Linked DNA regions of Alligator mississippiensis. The protein of the gene in region 2 binds, or shares a complex with, the protein of the main gene of each other region. Links are inferred from orthologs where the notes say so. Each region holds a gene or a part of one and is shown on either strand. Other genes may lie near its edges.

The links. The genes of interacting proteins can lie anywhere in the genome.
Region 1: KAT6A (region 2) and BRD1 share a complex: the UniProt entries of both Homo sapiens proteins name them as parts of the MOZ/MORF complex. The link is inferred for Alligator mississippiensis from reciprocal best matches to the Homo sapiens genes KAT6A and BRD1.

What each region holds. Positions count from the first base shown.
Region 1 is NC_081827.1:37,036,794-37,047,040, forward strand, and holds the start of BRD1 (bromodomain-containing protein 1), read right to left. Parts: upstream 3,947-10,247; 5' UTR 3,851-3,946; intron 1-3,850. UniProt on the Homo sapiens protein: Scaffold subunit of various histone acetyltransferase (HAT) complexes, such as the MOZ/MORF and HBO1 complexes, that acts as a regulator of hematopoiesis.
Region 2 is NC_081830.1:17,271,927-17,282,261, reverse strand, and holds the start of KAT6A (histone acetyltransferase KAT6A), read right to left. Parts: upstream 4,140-10,335; 5' UTR 4,043-4,139; intron 3,480-4,042; exon of another isoform or gene 3,460-3,479; intron 3,180-3,459; 5' UTR 3,128-3,179; intron 3,014-3,127; 5' UTR 2,846-3,013; coding exon 2,243-2,845; intron 1-2,242. UniProt on the Homo sapiens protein: Histone acetyltransferase that acetylates lysine residues in histone H3 and histone H4 (in vitro). Component of the MOZ/MORF complex which has a histone H3 acetyltransferase activity. May act as a transcriptional coactivator for RUNX1 and RUNX2.

The sequences.
Region 1 (10,247 bases), on a different chromosome or scaffold from region 2:
GAAGGAGACACTGAGCAAAGAACCCCCAACAGGACCTAGTATTAATAAATACTGGTCCAAGGAACCGGGAGATCCTTCCCAGAGGAATTCTTCCTAAACATGAGGTACCAAGGAGCAAAAACAGGATCCAGTCAGAGGACATCCCACACCCTTTTCTCAGTCTTGTAAATATTGTGGGTTTGGTACAGACTACTCTGAAGGTGGGCACTGAGTAAAAAGAGGATTGCATTGTCTCAAGGTTAAGGCAAGTGAATAGTCACCTGGAGAGCTGGATTCTACTTCTGCCGCAGAGTCCCTAATGTGCTACTAAGCAAGTGCCTAAAAGAACATTCCTTGGGTGGTTAGCAATTTCATTTTCCTTGTTTTCTAGATGTCCAAATTGAGGCCTTGGAGCAGGACCTGTGGAAGTGCTGAGCACCCACACTTCCCAAACTGAAGTCAATGGGAAAGGTATCAAACATTTTTCAGGTACTTGGAAAAATCAGATCCTAATAATCTCAAATTAAGCATCCCAGATTAATAGAAACTTTTTATTTTAACCTCTCTGTGCCTAAACAATCCATCTAGGGGAGTGGGGAGAAGGTAATAACACCTCATGCTTCACGTGTGTCAAGATAAAGCATCAATGTTTGTGAAGCATTCAGATACTGAAGTGATGAGAGCAGAAGACGACCTAATATGAAAATTAAAAGTGTCTTCAGAGCAGGGTTTGAATAAGGTGCAGTAAATAGGGGATTATGGCTACTCACTGAACAATGATAAAAAGGTTAAAGGTTTGCAACTACAGAAGGTGCACCAGTGTTTGTTTAGGATCATGTTGCCCAATTCTCTGATGGTGAAAGAAAAGAAAACAGAAGAGAATTCAGCTTATCTTAATTGTGCATTTCCCTATTTATTTAATTAGTTACATTAATAGATCACAGAGGTTGTTGCTGAAATAATCAGAATTTCATCAAGATTTTAAGAATTTTTTTTAAAGTGCTATGTCACGTCACATACTGAGAGCTGTTGGGAGACAGAAATGAGACAACCCAACAAAGCTCCTAAATTTCCAAAGAGCACCCCTAGCAGATCCCAAGAATTAGCCTTTCAAAATTGCCTCTACACACTCCATATCACATACTGAGGATATTAAAAGACATACAGGACCCATGTGCCAAAAATAATTTTATGATTTGAATTCAGAACCATAAAGAACATAGCAACAACAGGTCCCACGGACTATGAAATCCAAAGGGAGGTAAATCTTCAACAGGAATCTTGAAATAAGCATAGAAACTGAAAAGGAAAGGCTGGAGGGAAAAAGAAAGATGACTTAAGATCACTTGAGGAGTCTCAGAGTTCTATAGCACTGAATGGAGAAAAACTAATTCTGTATAATTTGGCTGTTATGCAGGACCTGCCAGAGAAGAAGTCACAGTTGAGAAAATCTGTCAGCAGGAAACTGGTTTGAAGTTCATCAAGCCATCAAATCACCAGCATACCTTAGCTCAGTAGGGTCATTCTAATCATCCTAAATTCAGAGAGTCACTTCTCAAAAGTGATTAATAGATTTTAAGGACAGAAGGCAAACTAGGATAATCTATCACCATCTGTACAAAACTCCACACAATTTAAACCACTATCATCAGTTTTTCTTATATCCAAATTAGTTATGAACTAGAATTTGATAAGAAATTTTGGGGAAAAAATCCTACCTGGGTATGACAAACTATTTTTTAAGATAAGGCAATGTAAAACCCACTTTAATCTTTTCAAAGCATACTGGTGCAATTCTCCTCTAAGTCCCATACTGGTAACTTGTCTGTATCCTGTTTGGAGCTTACTTCTTGCATACATATGCTAACAGTGTCCCAAAGGTGTTTGTTAAGTATGTAGGTGGTTTTCCATAATTAAAGCCCAGTGCTTCAGAGCTGAAATCAGTAACAGCTTTGCCATTTATTTCAATGGCAACAGAACTACACTCTTTGCATTTTGTATGCATTTCATTTAAGTTTTTAAATTACAATAGGTTCCTACAAGGAGATTACCAGGTCTCAAGTGTAGATACAAATGTTCTGCTTTTCTTTCTTCATCTATCACTAAAACCTTGCAGTTTGGAGCCTTTTTGTCACCTCGTGGTTAACTCTTTCTCTACTACCAGACTAACAAATCACTATGTTCTTATCTTAGGAAAGCTTCATATTGACTCTGTGAGCATAGGATAACTTTTTTTCCTGACAGTGTTAGATAACAATCTTGTCAAAACATTCAAGTTCCACTTTCTGTCCCAGACTTCCAGTACACTGGTGCAAAACAGAAGAAAGGGTCTAGCGATTTCAGCCACGGAGAAATATGACTATATGGCGATTTTCTTCCCAGTTACCTAGGAAATAATTTGAAAAAAAAACAAACAACACCTATTTTTATGAAGGTTTCAACATATTTTAATATTTCCAACAGAGCCTATAAACAAACTGTAGAAAAAGTTACAGCTTACTGAACCTTCCTGAGACCTCTGCAACGTAAGTGTCAAAAGGAATTGATCAATGTTCACTCATCTTCTAGTGGATGCAATTAATTGCAAAGATCCAGAAGAGAAGTGAACCCCCCCCCCCCCAAAATCACTGTTTAGACTTCCCAAACCTCTTGAAACTAAGTAACAGATAAACCGCCCTTTCAAGGCAGTGTTGGGGCTCTACAAGGGAGAAGAAAAAAAGGGTGCTTACTTAGAAATTTGGCAGAAATCATTGGATTTTGCTATTTAAAAAAATATCATCTTCTGCCTCTAAACCAGAAAGTTTGAGGAACACCTGAAGGAAAATACAACTCTAGGAGCTAACAATTATGAAGAAATTTGGAATAAATTCAAACTTTAAAAGGAGAGATGAATAGATGACATTTCTTCATTAGAAAAGATCTGAGGAAAAAAGAGGAGCTATTATTTAGAGATAGCGAGACATAAAAGCTTAGCATCAACTCAACATAAAAGGAATGGTCATAGATTGGAAGGAGGCACCTGGCTCTTACGGACATGGACTTGGGTTCAGAAAGTGCTGCCAACTTGTCTTTTGAAATACTCTAGGGCAGCGGTAGCGGTACTCAGACAACCTGCCAGGGGTATGTGTTAACAGATTTGTTATAATTATTTTACACGACAAAAATTTGCTACTGGTACTTAAGATTGAACTGAAAACATTGCTGGTAGTACTTAAGGTTGTATGGTTTTAAATTGCTGGTGGGCGATCTGTCGGAGTTTGGGAACCGCTGCTCTAGGGGAGCGGATGAGTTTTCAGAACATCAAGTTTGGTATTCGATAGTTGGATGTGTTAATAGATGCACTGAAAGCATCACAGATGTAAGTAGCACTGAGCCTGCACAGCAGCTAAGTAAATACAGAGAATTTACTTTTTCTTTAAAAACTACTTCTGACTGCATCACCAGATGCGCTAGTCAAAGCAAACTCCTTGGCTACCGTGAAAGGTGGTTACTGGTCTTTCAGGTATCCTTATCAGCTTCTTTAACATCTGAACCTCATCCAGGGGAGCCAGACGCATCTGTTACGATTTTGTAAGAACGAAAAAGCTCTCGTAGGTGTTTTAAGAGAGCGTCTTTTCCTACATCTTTTTTGTTGTAGTAAGTTTGGGTTACAAACTAGCAGCCGATGCCTGTCACTCCGAAACAGGGCACTAGGGCACGCGTTTTGTAAACCTGGGCAGACAACGTGCTCCGGTGGAAGGGATGAGCAGGGAACAGGCGCGAACTCCAAAGAGGCGGGGCGGGGTTGCAAACGCCCGAGCACCTCGCGGCCCTCCCCCCAGCCCGGCGGAGCAGCACGGTCCCAGCCTCCTGTGGGGACGCCCGCACTCACCGGCCCGTTATCTCCGCTCCGGGACGACCCGCCCAGGACCCCTCATCTCCACGCCGCTGCCGGCCCTAGGATGGGCCCCTCCCCCCACCGGCGCCGCGGCCGCCATTTTGTGGCCGTTCCCCGGGGCCACGTCACGCGCCGTGCGTGCGGCCGCTCCGCGACGTGCCCAGCCCAGCCCCGCCCCGCGCCGTGCCGCGCCTGCGCAGTGGAGGCGGCGGCGGCCGAGCCGGGCAGGCTGAGTAGCGTCGCGGCGGCGGAGACAAAGCGCCGGCTGATGAATGGGGCGGCCCGGCACGACCCGTCCCCGGAACCCCTTCGGGCGCGGCCGGGCGGGCGAGGTGAGCGGGGCCGCGGGCTGGCGCGGGGCGCTCCGAGCCGGGGCTGCCGCTGCCGGGGTCGGCTGCCCGCGCCGCCTCCTGCTGCCGCTGCCCGAGCCGCGGCGCCAGGCCCTGGCCCGGGCTCCGCGCCGGGGACGTGCGGCCAGGGCACAGGAAGTGGTGGGCTGGGCCGGGGCTCGCTCGCCCATTGTGTGGCGGGGTGGCGGGGTCCCCTGGCGGCGCGGCCCGGGCCGGCCCGGCCGCATTGTGTGGGAGCCGCCTGCCCTGCCCTGCCCTGCCCTGCTCTGCTCTGCTCTGCGCGCGCGAGGCCAGCTCGCGCCCGCGCCGAGGCCTCGGAGCCCGGCGCTGTAGGAGTGACCATGTGGCTGGGCCGGGCCGGGCCGGGCCCAGCTAAGATGGCCCGTGGCGGGGCGCCAGGTGCGGCCCCAGGGGGCCGGGCGCTGACAGCCGCGCTGGGCACTGGCTTTCTGCCCATCTCCCCCGCGCGGGCGGGCTGAGGGGCGCAGTGGCCCGTGCAGGAAGGAGCGGCTTTGCGCCAGCGCTGACCCCTCAATGCGCTGAAGTCGCACGACCAACATGGGCTGCGAAACGCCAGCTCCTCTTCTCCTCCCTTCTCGGTACTTTGTTCTTGGGGGTGGCAGGGATTGGAGCACGGTCTAATTAGGGCTCGCTGGTGGGTCTGGAAGGAATTTAAGAGTACAATCTTTGAGGCTTGGAGTTGTCTGCAGAAGTCACTGGTCTTTCTGCTGGGGCGGGGTAGGCTGTAGGCTGGGGTTTCCCTCGCTCTCTCTTCCCTGCTTTGAATTTGACAAGAGACCAAATGTCAAAATAGTAGAGGATGCTTGAGGGCAGGTGTGGCATCAATTGTGAGCCCTCCTGCCTTATGAATAGTGCTGTGAAGTTTGATGGAAGGCATCCTGGCTGCTTCTCTTAAAGCAGACAAGTTTTCAGGATCCCTTATGCCCTGTAAAAGAAAGGAAAAGTGACCATAATCCCTCTCTTTCTCTTTAAGAGTCTGTAGCATTTCACTTGAAAGATGGGACCACCATAACCTAGGGGTTTATGGGGTCTGGTTGGGGCAGCACGAAAGTCTGGGGAACTTCTTTCTGCTCCTCCCAATGTGTATTAAACTCTTTTTTTTTTTTCAAAATGGGGAGGCGGGGAAGAGGGGGAAGTCTTCTCTGAGAATAATTGAACATGGAGTTTATTTTTCAGAAAGAGACTTGTAAGGGAAACCTGGAACATTATGCAGTAGATATAACGGAGAAATAGAAATACACATTGGTGTCACTTCTTTCTTAGGCAAGAAGATTATTTTCTGATTGATATTTGAATGAGAAGTGTGGTCCTTTCTAGCATGGAAAACTGTCCTGCTGGGAACAAGAGTAACTGACACGGTGTGAAAACTTCCTGCTAGAGTCTAAGAACCATCCGCAGCCAGACTGCCAGTATTGCTAGCATGTTTGTAGTTTAACAGATATTGGGAGCTTGGGAGGTTTTCCTTTACAGTGTAGACAAAATGTGAAGTAAATGGAAAACAAATGAAATTACATCCCCACAAAAGATTCTGGGATGAGCAATTTAGATAATCATATGTTTGAAGCTTGCGATTTGTGATAAAAGGATGCTAAAATCTTCATTCTGTTTATTCCACTCACCTGCTTTGTCTTGTCATAAGCCTGGATTGCAAGCTCCCTGGGGTAAGAACTGGTGGCTTGTTACATATTTGTGTAGCAGCTAGCATGATGGAACCCTGGGCCTTGTCTGAACCCGCTAGGCACTACTGTACTGTAATACAGATGATATAACTGAGGCTTACAACAGGTCCACTAGGAATAGTTGGAATAGGAGTAGGACTAGGAGTAGTCCTGCCACCATCCATCACCCCGCACCTTTGCTCTGCTTTCGGCCATACGCCACAACCCACCCTGCCCCACTCTGCTTTTGGCTGCAGGCAATTCTCCCCCTGCCCCGTTCCATGTCCGGCCGCCAGGGGTACACTTATTTAAAAAGGTTGAAACCCCCTTCTTTAGATTATGGGAAAATAACTGATCCTCTTTTGATGGTTTCCAGGCTACAACTCTTGCACGCTTGCATTTGTACTCTCTCTTTCCTCCCCTAGTTTTCCACAACTGCATGAAAGACTACTTTTTGAGAACTGTTTTGGGAAAAAGATAGGTTGGGACTAAAGGGCATGAACTCTTTATGAATGCTCTTTCTTATTTTCCTGAACACACTCCAGCCTGCTGCCCCTTACTGCTGTTCTGTGCACAAGTGCCAGGGAAACTGCACAAGAGGGGCAAACTCCTCAATTTTATCCCCTGACCAGTATGAGGAGATACAATTTGAGTTTGGCTGTGAGTCTTGTCTTATTCCATATTGCAAACGGGGCATATTTAGTTTGTGTTGCTTCTTTGTACTCTGAAAGAAAATAAAGAAAACTATTTACATAAACAGTGGTAACCTGAACAGCTGTAAATGTTAGAAAGATTTTCGTGAAGAACACTATGATCATGTCTTAGTTCAGCATTCGGCATAAAGCAGGCTAGGTAAAATCAGATGCTGTCATAATGTATAAGAACATGAATAGAATATAACAGCAGTTCTATACTGAACCCATAACTTGGCATTGTAAGTTCCCTACATAGGGTTATTTCTAATATTATCAAGCAGGAAATTCTGTACACTATTTGAAAATAACTTTTCCTAGTAATTTTTTCCTCATCTCTTTGGTAAAATTGCCTTCTATCTGTTCCATTAGGGCTATTTGTGCCTGCATTATTAGCATCAATGGAAATTTGTGCAGTTGTGGAAATGTGTTAATTTCAGCTGCTGCGTTAACAGGTTGAGCAATTAAGTGATTCAAAGATAGGAATTTATATGAATTTTGGGGAGTAAAGATTCAAAAATATATTAGACATAAGGTTACCTTTGTGTTGTTATTATTTAAAAACAGAATAAGCTTTGGATGCACTTTCTTTTGTGGTATCTTGTAGTATTCTTCAGTGGAGAATTAATGATGTTAGGATGTCATAAAGAGAATAAGAAAACATCCTGGAATTTGACAACGTACTTTTTGCTTGTCCAAGATTTAATTAAAAAAACATAATCTATTCTGAAATCTTAAACAAGCATGTTGTTTTAAAATGTGTTAATCTTTGTTAACTGCATCACAGTTCACAGTAGATGCTGGCACAAAAAATATAACTATTACATATTATGTTCTTTATTAGTTGAACCAGAAAATGTATTGTTTAATTGATTTTTTTTCTAATAACTTGAGTAGTGATATGCAGGAATGAAAACTAATCATTCTTTGCAATTTTATGGATTCATTTTTATAACTGAATGTGTGTTGTATTTTGCACAAATTAACTAGCCATTTCAACTGAAATATGTCTGCTTTGTCTGGAGCTGTGCAAATTTCTGCTAAGTTAAGACTTCACTTGATTTGTAATTGAAGGAATACCTCTTGAATTGAAAGCACTAATTTTCTGCCTTAGTAAATATACAAATAATCTCTGAACATTCACTGGTTAAAGTTGAAACCCAAAACTTAATCCATGGACTCCTTTTAACTGGAAAATGGGCTTGGGTTTACACTTTTAGATTTAGTGATTCTCAGTTGCTGTTCTTTGAATTTGTAAGAAAATGCAGGAAACATTGAATTTCAAGTTAATGCTATGGTGACAGAATAGAAATGTGTAGTAATTGCGCCTGATTATTATTACATTCAAAATCTAGTATACAGTAAAAGCTGCGTTATTTGGCACATGCTCTGTTAACCAGCATGCCGATCGACACAGCAAAAGCAAAATCGGAAGTCCCACTTTGGCCAACTTTGGACCATGGCCTGGGGCGGAGCAGCCTGCGTGGGGGTCCCCCCTCCCTGTCCTCCAGCACACTGATGGCAGGGAGGGGCAGCGGTGTACTGGGCACAGCGGGAGGGGCAGTGGCCCGAACAGGCAAAGATGCCTGTTCGCACCTCTCGGGTAACTGGCATATTTGGTTATCCGGCACCCCCCCATTCTCCATGAGTGCCGGATAACAGAGCTTTTGCTGTACTTCAAAAGATGTTTATTTTTCTCGTCTTTTATGTTCATTAGTTGATTTATATTGTATGAAAAAATATCTTATTTTGTGGGTTTGGAGTCCTACAGTCCAATCACTATAAAAAGTTAAAAACAGAAATCAATTATTTGGGGCTGACTGGGATGTTTGGTTTGGTCCCAAACAACATGTTTCATGTTTATTTCAGGAAAAAGGAGAACAATGGAAATAAAGGTTAGGCATCATTCACAAAACCAGCAGGGAAGAGAAAGATGTCTGGTCAGATACAGTGGTTATTAGATTCTGGTTTACTAGAAGAGTGATTATAACATTCACCCAGTATGTGGGAGAACTAGGAACGAATCACTTTGGCTGAAGTGTTTTGATTCCATTTTACAGGGGGGTGCCTTATTGTGATTTCTTTTTTGGTATACAAGATGGTATTGTGCTCAGTGTCTCCCACACAATCCTTATTCTGAATCCTACTTTGGCTTTATGGAAGGCATTTAACTTCTCCCCTCTGTGTCTCCCTGTATAAGATACATGCTCATTCATAAAAGGTATTGCAGTAGTTCATTGTAAGGTGTTCTAAAGGTATAACTCGCTCTTTGTACAGTCCACTACTTACTTTCTTAATTGTGTTGGACAGAATTGTCCTTATGGCTCTGTAGTATGTATAATTGCATCTGTTGATGTTTTCAATCTTTTCTTCCCCATCCTATTACATAGATGTGTTTTACTAACATCCTTTGAGAGGAGTGCCACATTTTCTACCCTTTAAAAGAAGAATCCAAGGGTTTCTAAATAGAAGTATGAGCAAGAGATAATGAAGTTAGGAGTTCCTGGGCAGCCCTAGGGATTTTAGGCAGTGGTTGAACAGTTTCTCCTTAAACTGTGTTTTTTTAGGAGTAGGGTAGGACTGCTGGAGATGATCACTCCTGTGTGTCACTGAAACTTTTTGGGACTAGAAGAGCATAACAATTTAAGAACTTTAGTCCACCTACAAAATTATTTCTTGGGAAGCTTATGAAAAGCAAACTGTGCAGAGTTCTTCCTCTAAACCTCAGACCTGCCTTCGATTTGATTTCTTTGCTTAAATGTTGATTGATTGACCAATAAAAAGATAAAATCATGGGCTAGAAGCACCAAAGAAGAACATTTTCCCCAATTGTGGGGGGAGGGAATATCTGTTTTTAAGTTACTGTCTGTTTGCAGATACAGAGCTCTTGACAGGCTCCTTTGAACTGTTATTTTACCTAATGGGTAGGTGCTTTTTGTGAGGAGGAGTAGCTTCTTTGACCTTTTGGAGGGCAAAAACTAATTGTCTTCTCTGAGTGTACAAAAATTGTCGGCTTCCAAAATAACATATAACATGAGAATGATTTAACAAACAGAGTAACTTCATGCCAGCATTTAGTTTTTATTTGCCTTCTGCTTTGAAGCTTAGGAATTAACATCATCTAGGTTTTTTCTACAAACCTTTTTTAAGTGAAAGCTGAGAGTCTCATGCAGGTTTGATTTCAGTAATGGGGCTTTGAAAATGCACATAAATACAGCAAAATGTGTGATGAACTTGCAACAGCTGACAAAGTTGGAAAGTTATATTAAAGATACTTTTTTTTTTTTTTCCCTCTACGTAGATTTCCTGAATTGGTTTGGACAGCAAGTATTGAATCTGAAATGAAGGTAGCAGAACACAATGGAGCTGATGTGTAAGTCTCTCTCTGTCATGTTAGACTTTTTTCTGTCTCTTTTTCCAGGTTGATCCTCAATTTTTCCCCTTTTCTGTAGAGCAAATGCAATTGACTCAGAAGGACTTGAATAATTCTGAGATTGTGAATGTGACAATTGGTTTAGTATTAATAATTTAATGAGAGGTTTGCATGAGTGCAAGGATTTAGATGCATGAACTTGAACGTTAGTGGATTTGTGTTCCCAAATCCCTTGCTGAGACTATTTGCTTGGGGGATGGGAAGGCAACAGGAATCACCAGAGCATCTAAAGATGTC
Region 2 (10,335 bases):
AACTCTTTAACAGCTTTTTTCACAATGCACACTTAAGAGAAAGCAGCAAAACAGAAAGCAAGGCAACACTTTTTACAGCTAGCTACACTAGATTGACTTTTTTTCCAAGTTCATGTGTTGTGAAGAGTTTTTAGAGTTATATTTTTGTCACAGCACCAATACATGCTGGTGGAATGGTACCCTAGATGAAGAGTTCCTATGATTTCACCAGGACAAAACAAGTGGGTAACTCAAGCAAATGGTCTTTGCAAACAAAACTGAGTCTGAAACTCGGCGCAGTTCCTACCCCTATACAGGTCTTCACATCTCACAAATCCCAGCAGATTCTAATGAGCAGTACACCTGTTGGTAGTTTCTGCAGCAAGCCCATAACCTGACCTGGATATGGAGACTGAACTTCCTCACCCTTAGAGATTGACCCACCACATCAATCAAAGGAAGGTCTGCCTGGAAAACCCCACATACCCTGCACTTGTTCTGTGGATAAAGTAACTCAAGCATCCAGTGCTAGCAATCAATATCTTTAGGGTACACCAGCTTCATTAAAACAAAAATACTAGAGCAAAGGAACCAAAGCATCCGTCAGACACTAAAATTGAGATAAACTACATTTAAAGCAGGATTGCTACTACAGCATTTGTTGTCCCTGCAATTATATCAGTCCGTAAGTTGATCGCCCTGCCTTTGTTGCACACTGCAGGTACATCCCTCCCAGTGATCCTAGCTCCTTGTGGCTTTATGTCATGAGATGTTACAAAACCTCGATCGCTGGAGACTTTTCAAGAATAGGTTGGATAAATGTCAGAAAGAGTTCGCGTATAGCTGACCCTGCCTTGGGGCAGGGGGATAAACTAAGTCAGTGGTTTTCAACCTGTGGTCTGCAGACCCCCGGGGGTCCACAGACTATGTCTAAGGGGTCCGGGAAAGATGATTCTGATCAATCAATAGTATGCAAATACCCACACTTACAATTCAAAGGGGTCCGCACCTCCATGTGAATTTTTTTAGGGGTCCACAAATGAAGAAAGGTTGAAAACCCCTAGACTAGGTGACCTCGAGGTATCGTTCAGCTCTCCTTTCTGAGATGCAGCCAAATTAAAACTAGTAGGACTGTGAAGATATTTTAACATGACAGTAAACAGCTATATGACCTTACATTTTATGAACAGGGCGAGAGTCACAGAAGAAACGACTCAACACAGCACACTGTTTCTAATACTCTTTATATGTTTTGAATATTCGTGGAGTTCCTTCCAAATCTGAGTAGCTACCAGGAAATGCAACAATATCTGATGTTTGAGGTGAATGGGGATGTGTGCGCACAAACATGCACACACACACATACACGCACTTTAAAATCTTGACCAAAATTTTAAAATTGCTGTTTTGCACGGAAGCATACTTGAGGAGTACAGAAAGGGACAGGATTTTTGGTATCCCACCTCATCGTAAGGACACCCCCTTGTAATGATCAGACTAAATGAATGGGTGCATACAGTAGAATGAGTGTAAAGCTATTTCTAATGACTAGTCTTGCTCTCAGGTTGTGTTGACATCAAGATTTTATTTAATAGTATTTTCCTACTGCTACCACCACCGGTTCCATTTCTATCAGCATTAGGTCTTGTCACAAAAAAGTTTGATTACACTGGTCTGGTAACAAAAGCTACAGGCTCTAGTAATGCTCGATGCGATAACCAAGCAACTGTATGAAGAAGCTGCTGGCTTTTTACCTGTAGTGTCACTGAAAGGTGCTCAGCACAGGCCTATATTCTTTTGTCCTGCAAAGGGCAATGCTGTGGTCTACACCATCTTACCGTCATAACCCTCCATGGATCTTCAGTAATGGCAAAAAGTGATAGAAAATGAGTATTAGAACACATATCTATATACCCTGCAGTCTTCCAAGCCTCAGATCTGGCTAGGCCACAGCCAAGTGCTCTGCCTGAAGTGTCAAAGTAATCCGAGAGGCACTAAGGACTCGTATGTATAAAATTAAAAAAAAGGAAATGGAAATGCTTTTTGAAAGTGGCTACGAACTCCCCTGCACTGAGTCTGAAAGTGAATGGGACAAGATCATTTTCAAGCACTTTCAGAAGCATGCGAAAGAAAAAGAAACCTCCATCCACTTAAAGATTCACCACAGGCCCCAGACCATTTCCAACTTATCTGATGCATAATGAAATACTGACCTCAAAATTGGAGCCTTTACACCCTATTTCGTCAGCTCCGAGGCTCTTACCTTATCCTTCTCATGGGGAAGAAGCGACACAGGTGGCAGGCAGGAAAGAGACTCGCAGCTTTCCTTCCCGTCAGCATTAGCAACTGCTTTAGTGTTGAGCTGGTAGAGAGGTCCATCTTTAAGGAGTCTGCCATGGCCAACAGCACGCTTGACAGCTAGTCGCAATTGCTGGTGAAAAGCGGAAGCAGCGCTACCTCCAAACAACACAGACACGTCCTTCTGACCTTTCAAAAAGCGCTCTATGTTTTTCAAGGATGAGCCACTGGACTCCGCCAAGCCCTCGATTGCCCGTTTGATCAGTTTATTCCAGTCCACGTTTGGTTTACCATCCAACTTGCCATGGTTTCGAGGCTTCGGAAGTGCTATTCTCCCCGGATTATCGGGATCCTTGTAGGAATTGAGACCCTTGTTGGAGACTTTTAAAATAGTCCCATCTTTAACGCTTAATTCTAGTTGTTCCAAAACAGTTTTACGGTCCAAACCATGGGATGAAGACACCGCATTGCATATCCTCTCCTCTGAAGGGCGTTGTTTTTGCTTCTTGACCTTTTTAATCGCCTCCAAAATCCACTCAGTATACAGCGGGTTGGCGAGTTTTACCATGGTGAAGACTTCTGTATATCCATAGAGTCGTTATCCCTTATCCCGATGCTGCACAATTTTCACACCGTGGGAAAACAGATTCTCGGAGGAGAGTAACCAGCTAACCATAGCATACACGTTTCTGATATGAACTGCTTCTCTTTGATCCAATATTAAATTTTCTTAAAACTGAAAGAAACACAACACATCCCATTAGGAGCTGATCCACGCTTCCCAACAGATCCCACCACCGCTCCCGCGGCAAGCCTGGCAAAGCTGGAAAGCTGTCAAAGCACATCTTACCTCGCTTCGGGACTCCCGCACCGCGATCGGAAAGAGAACTGGAATGTTACGCCTGCAAGAAAACGGGACGGAGTAATTTCTGAGCAAAAAAAGTCACAAGCCTAAATCTGACTTCCGCCATCCTACGGACGGACGGACGCCTCACAAAGTTTCCCCGAGACCACCCTCGCCGCCCCGGGAGACCGCCAAGTCGCGAAAACAGAAAAACACCGCGTTTGCGTGCAGGGACACAACCGAGTGCCGAAGGTGACAAGGCCGTGCTGTTCCCGCCCAGCCAAGGCGAGTCCCAAGCAGAGAGAGTCGGGACGGACGACGCACTGAGGAAAGACTACCTGGCGCCTTTTGTCTGCGGCCGGGGTTTTACGGCGGACCCCAAAGCGCCCCCATTGTGCCTGGTGTAGGCACGAAAGGGCGCGCGGCGAAAGGGGGGTGCGCGCCGCGGCCACCCCTCCTCGTGTCCCGAAAGCAGCCGCGACACCTGCCCGCCAAGGCGGCGCGGAGAAAGTTGTGCGGAAACCTGCGGGCGTCCCCTCGCCGGGGCTGGGGCCGGGAGGCGGAGGGTGACAGGACGCCGGCCGCACGGGCGGGAAGCCCCCCGAGTGCCCGGCCTCGCCGCCCGCGGCAGACAAAGCGCGGCCGCCCCTCGCCGCGGGCTCGGCACCAGGCGGCGGGCGGCGCCCCCCGGCCCTGCACCTGCCGCGGCCCCGCGGCGCGGCGCGGCCGGGCCTGGGCGGGAGGCGGGCGCGGGAGGCGGGGGCCGCGGGCCGGGCCTGGCGCAGAGCGGCGGCGGCGGCGGCGGGCGGCGGGGCCGGAGCAGGCCGCGAGCCCGCGGCGCCGGGCCGGCCTCCCCCGCGGCGCCCGCCGCCCCGCCGCCTGCCCGCCGCCCGGCCCGCGGCCCCCCCCGCCGCCACTCACCGGGGCCTGCGCGCGGCGGGCGGCGGGCGGCGGCGGCCGGACGGCGGCGAAGCCCGAAACTGACACGGCGGCCATCTTGGGTCCGGAGCGCGGCGGCGGGGGGGGGGCGGCGGCGGGCGGGAACAGCGCACGGCGGGCGGGGCCGCGCCGCCTAGAACAGCCGGGCCGGGGACAGGGACAGGGACAGGGCCGGGGACACGGCGGGCTCCGTCCCAGCGCCCGCGGCCAGGGGTAGGGGGCAGGTCTGCCCCAGCGCCCGGACGGTGTCACCGCTGCATCGCCTTTACCCCCAGGCTGCCTCTCTTTGTGCCCGGACACATCCTTGCATCGGGAGCAGGTGGCAGCCGCGGGAGGACACGGCCGGGCCGGCTGCCTGGTGTTGCACCGACCGGCCCCAAAAGAGCCATGCGGATGCTTCTTGGCGAGTGACACCCTTCGCCGGTCCCGCATTGGGGACCGCGCCAGTTTGGGACCCTGGACTCGGGGAGTTCCCGCGTCGACCTCGGCTTGCGGCGTGGTTTCTCGCGCTTCGGATGGGCAAGTTCGTGCGCGGCGTTTTTAAGCGGTCACCCAGCGTAGAGATGAGAGCTTTTACGAGACCGCCGAGATTTTCGCCAAAAAAAACCCCCACCCCAAAAAATGGTTTGATTGCAAGCTGTCGGGCTTGGGGCTGAAACTTTGTTGGTACCGAGAAATCCTTGTTTCACCAGATTCGAACCATTCGCCCTAGATAACGTTTGACCCTTCGCGAGGCGTCGGAGAAAAGGTTGTCCAAGTTCTCCAGGATCCTCGAGATTGGCAGTCGCGCTCTTCTGTCGACTGCGGGTCCTCTTCTGTCTTCAGAGGATCTTCTCTGAGTAGGTGTACGGTTTGTGTCCGATCCCTAATTGTACCTTGCGTCCAGTTCTGAACTCGTGAAATAGCGTACCACGTTCTGGGCGAGACATTTCTTAGTGTGCAACTCCCCAGAGAGCAAGGGGAGCAATACTGACAGCTCTTAGTTTCGTGCAGGGTGGAGAATATCTAGCTCTCGGAGACCATAAGGACCCCCCCCCCAAACAGGGTTTTGGTGGAGGTGGCGTAGAATAGCGGTCACAACGACGCATGTTTTGGAGATGCTTTCTAACTCAAACCTCTTTGCTGAGTGTACACATTTAAAACTGTTTTATTGCTAATCCACTACGAACTGAGATCTTGCCAAATTGCAAATCCCTTTCCACTGGAAAGACTCCAGACCTACATACAAACTGGGGACAATGCTTCAGTAAGATCCTCGTGGGTGACTGTGTCCATACAGAGCCTCGTTGAAGACCCCCGGCTTCTGTGCAAGCAAAGAGAGCTCCTTCGTGGGAGTACCTGGAGTGACCTGAGCTTGGGGCTGAAACTTTGTTGGTACCAAGAAATTCTTGTTTCACTGGATTCGCACCGTTTGCTCTAGATAACGTTTGATCTGCTTGTTCAGTGTTGCTTGGGCTGCAAGTGACAGCTCTGAAAGCTTTTCTTATTTCAGATCTAGCTGTTGGTTTTGATTACATGTGCAAGGTACAGTCCTGTGCAAACAGGCTATGGCCAGTAGCCACACAATTTCACCAGGAACTTCCCGGATGAATGTTGTGTCTAGTTTTGGATTGGATCATCTTTGCACAAACTTTCTAATCTCTTTGGAGACGGGGAATTGGTAAAGTACTCTTGTAGACTTACTTTTTTTATGCTCCCCATCCCACCCCTGTGGTTTCTTGCCTTAGACTGAGGTGAGGAAGCGGAATGAACAGGAAGGAGGGTGCTGGAGTAAACTGTTAATTGGGACAGAGGAGAATCCTGGTTGCTCAGTCTCTGCCTAGAGAAAAATGCAGATGGCAGCTTGACATCAGCATGTAAAGATCCCTGTAGCAATTGTTTCTGTCTCTGTTCCTAAAGGTTTCAGAGTCCCTATTACGTTCATCATTTCCCCCCTTCCTGTTTGGGTCCCCATGTCCCTGAATTATAGCTGTGGTGCTGAGTGCATGGGAGGTAATGAAGAGCTGAAGTTCATTTCCAGGAGCTAATGAGGGTAAAATAAAGTAAAACTGAGAATTGCTTATGCAAGTATGATACTAAGTTAAAACTTCCTCCTCAGCTGCTGGACTTTTTTGTCTGTTTTAAAAGTCATATTAGGATTATTTAACCAGCAGCAAATTATGATGCAAAGAAGAACGCATTGCATTTGAAAGCTTAGTTAAGTCTATTCTGCCTGTGCAACTAGGTCAGTCAAAGGTGTCACCAGCAAAAATCCTTCCCTCTTCCCTATTTCCTGGACCATCATGCTATGTCACTCAGTGCTAGCAAATTGTAAACTGTTCAAGGTTATATCGTTTAGAAATTAGGATTTTTTTCAGAAATCCAATACTGTCTGTTTGCCTTTCTTTCTGTTCCATTTTCAAAGCACAATCTGACAGTTACACCAGCAGGATCATTGCATATGGTATGCTGCAGATGGCAAAAAGTTGTTTTATCCATCAAGATAATGCACAGTTTGGCAACACCGTTTTGTGAAATGACTAACTCCTTGGCTGTGGTTGTATCCAACTTTCACTGGAGACCCATGTACCTTCTAACTGAGCGCTGGCTCCTCACTGACCTCCAGTTCCCTTGGGTCTTGCTATATTTACCAGCAAGATTGATTTTTGCTTTAGAAACATCTTTCGCTGGATTCTTCTCCTTTTAGTTTCCAATTCGGGTTTATATAAACTCCAGCAATCCTGGGCAGAGCTTTTTATTTACTTTCAAAATGAAATATGATCCCCATGCTGACAGCCCAGAAGCAGCCAGATAGCATTTCTGCAGCAGTAAATAGGGTAATTCTGCACATTGCTTTCTGCAGGTACTAGCAGGAGATTGGGACATTCTTGAAAGGTTTATAGTTCAAAGTAGATCCCAACAGATTCACGTCTGTCAAGGGCCAGAACTGCTCAAAGGATTTTAAGGTATCTTGCATTGTATCGCTACGACTTCTTTCCTCCATAATTCCCTGCAAGCTTGAAATGTGAAACCTGTTCCCTTGCCCAAAAAATGGTTTTTCATACATGTTAACTTGAAATTGTAGTCAGAAGCTTATATTAATATTTTTTGCAGGCGAAAGAAAACCCTTTTGAGGTATTTGGGTTTTTTTTTTTTTCTTTTTTTCTTGTTTTGAAGAAGATACACGAACAACATGAACGGGGCAAAGTAGTCATGATTTTGCTGAGTATGAGCAAAAGAAGGAAATGGCACTCTTTAAAAACAGTTTATGATTCAGCTGAACCTGGATGCTGTTTAGAGGTACAAAGAAAACAGGTCTACACCCAAAGGGATTCCCTTTCTTGAATTTCAGAGGCTCAATGTGAAAAATGGAGAGGCTAGAACTTCTCAAAGAAAGATGCAAGAAATGCAGGGGTTATGTTAGGCCACTTAAACATAGATGGTACTCCCTCTGGTTCCCATTATTGTAGGATGCAACTGCCTCCTTATCTCTGAGGTGACAAATAGAGTATTACTGGCAGTGCTTCTTGGATCAGTTGTACTTGAAGTAATGCATCTACACTCCAGAAGAGACTGTGAGTTTGAAGACAAAATTAAGAAGCCAGCCAGTACCACAGGACCAGGCATTAGATGGAAAGGCACCTGAGTTTCAAAGACCTAGCATAACAAAAATATTCTGGATTGGGTCCGCAAAAGGCCAGTATATAGCTAGGATTCAATGACAGGTGGATTCAGCCCTAAGTTACCTCTGCTGGCAGGACACTGACTAAAAAAAGGATCTGGAGAGCAATTAATACTGAGCCAAGAATGCTATCAGGCCTCACAGTTTAGAGCCAAGATGTTGGCGACCTTTATACAGCTTTTGTGTAATTGGGTAGATTTCTAGCTTTGCCAATTTAACAAAGTCCAATTTTCTCACATAGAGCAGAAATAAATATAAATTATCTCTTCAGCTTGGCTTCCTCACACTTTTTCACACTTAAAGCATACGTACAGTCCTAAAAACAGATTACAAACTAATCGAGCTATTTCTCCAACTAGCTGAGAAGGGACAAATAGCAGCAATAATCTCTTTTACCTTTAGGGGCAAATATTGAGAAGGAAGCTATAAGGGAATTTGCAACACACCTTTTGTAGACCATCCCATGAGCTTCCCTTCATAAATCCACTGGATACAAAAAATCATGGACTAAATATAGACATTGGATTAACAACCTGCCTGACATCTGACACCCCAGATAACCTACCTCCAGCTGACCACTTGCATTCCTCCACACATTTCCCTCCCTTCCTCCCCACCATCTCTACCCATTGTCTTCCTAATTTCCACTCATTTGCATTTTCACAGACCTGCTTGTTGTAAATTTGCTTCTTTTCTACACACAACACCAGCAGAGTCTCCCTAGGCCTGACATAGGGTGTTTGTGCCCAAAAGCTTGCAAAGAACTTTTCCCCCCCAACTTTTGAGTTGGTCTAATAAAAGATATCGCATCTACCCAAAGAACCAAGATAGCCATAAGGCACTTGGATGAAAAGGCATTTTTTCTGATCTAAGGAGGAACGTGAATTGCGTGGGTTGGGTTAGCTGGTTGGTCTGTTTCTTTGTTGCTGTTTGTGTTTTGCACCCTGTGTTAACTAACAATTGGTAACATCCTGGTGTGGTCAAGGCAGTTTCAGTTTTGACATGATACCCGGTGAAAACAGCAAACATCATGAGGGAATGGACTGTTTGCTTTGAACTACAAACGTGCGTGAAATCTGTAATGATCTTCCCATTACAGGATGTTATCCTTTCCTTTCAGGATCACAAGAGTTAAACTCAGATAGGCTGGGGTGTATCCACAACTGGTTTAGCTGTTGCAAAGTGCTCTGTGTGCACTTGCAGACTGTACTTTGGATTCAGGTACAAGGGCAAATGAGTGTTTTAACCCCCTGGAGTACAGCCTCTTAGTTCAAGACTTTTTATCCTTTTTATTTTTGATAAGGGGAAAATAAATACCCAAAGCAGCTCTCTAAGCGTCCTCAGAGAGAGCGCAGAGTTAGGATTTATCACTTGCTTGGTACTGAGTCCACAAAGAACAGATGGTGTGGTTGTTGCCATACTGCTGGAAGGGTTTAAGAACAGCCCCTGTGTCAATAGAGCTTCAGCATGCTAAGAGCAGCTCTTCACTGCCCAGAAGCTATTTGTCCACGTCTCATCTCATGTCACTTAATTTTCATCTGCAGCTAATCATTCCTGGCCTTATTTAAGGATTATTTATCTGAACTACATTTAATAGTGCACAGAAGCATACTCTACTCTATACAGTAGTTCAGGACAAGGAACAGAAGGGATTTTTGTATTCCCCAAGGACTGCTAGGGACTTTGGGAGGCATATACCTTTATGCTTTTTCATGTTATTATGTTTTAATTAAATCTACACTATTTATTGAAAACTACCCTGAAACACTGGCAGAAAGTGCTATGGAAATCAATATCCCTGTGTAATTTGGTAGCATCGATTAGCTTTTAATGAATTTTCAAAGTCAGAGAGGACATTCTGCATAGCTGCCACTGTGACATACCAGGTCATTTTGAAATACATATTGCTCTGTAAACCTTAAATGGGAGATGAGAGGAGTAGAACACATGCAATCTTTTGTGCAAATCTATTTTGCCAAAAAAAAAAGGAGGGGGTGTAGAAGAACCAGAGCATCCTTCTGGTTAGGATTGAGCCTTCCCCAGGGTTCTGGATAAATGGAAAGAGCACTGAACTGTTTTGGTCTGTATGGGTAGAACGAATGTGTATGCAATTGTCTAACATGAGAAGCAGGCAGGGTTATTAGACATGCAGGCAAATACATCATCCAAACCCTCTATCCAAATCTCAGTGGAGCCCTCTGCTGGTGTGGGTTGGTTTGAAAACATTTGCTCTGTGCACCTTGTGTCTGAAAGAGGAAAGTAAATTGCCCCATTTTGGCTTACAAGAGACCAGAGAAACTATTGCCTTTGGTGCTACATTAGGGTGGGATGACGTGGCACGCTTAATGTCTTAATTTACATCACAGTTATTCCAGCTATAAAGCATATTACACTCTTTGCAAGAGTTCCATATTAATTTTATGGAGGGAGCAAGTTATGTTAGTCATTTGGCTGTTTTGCATGCAATTAACTGATTTGTGCAACACCTAGTAGTAGGTGTGCAAGTTAAGTTCCCAGTAAAGTACCTCAGTCATTTAAACATGGCGTTTGAAGGAGAATGCAGGAGTTGCACCACAAGGTGATGACCAAGAAGAGTTTGCATCTCTTTGGCTGT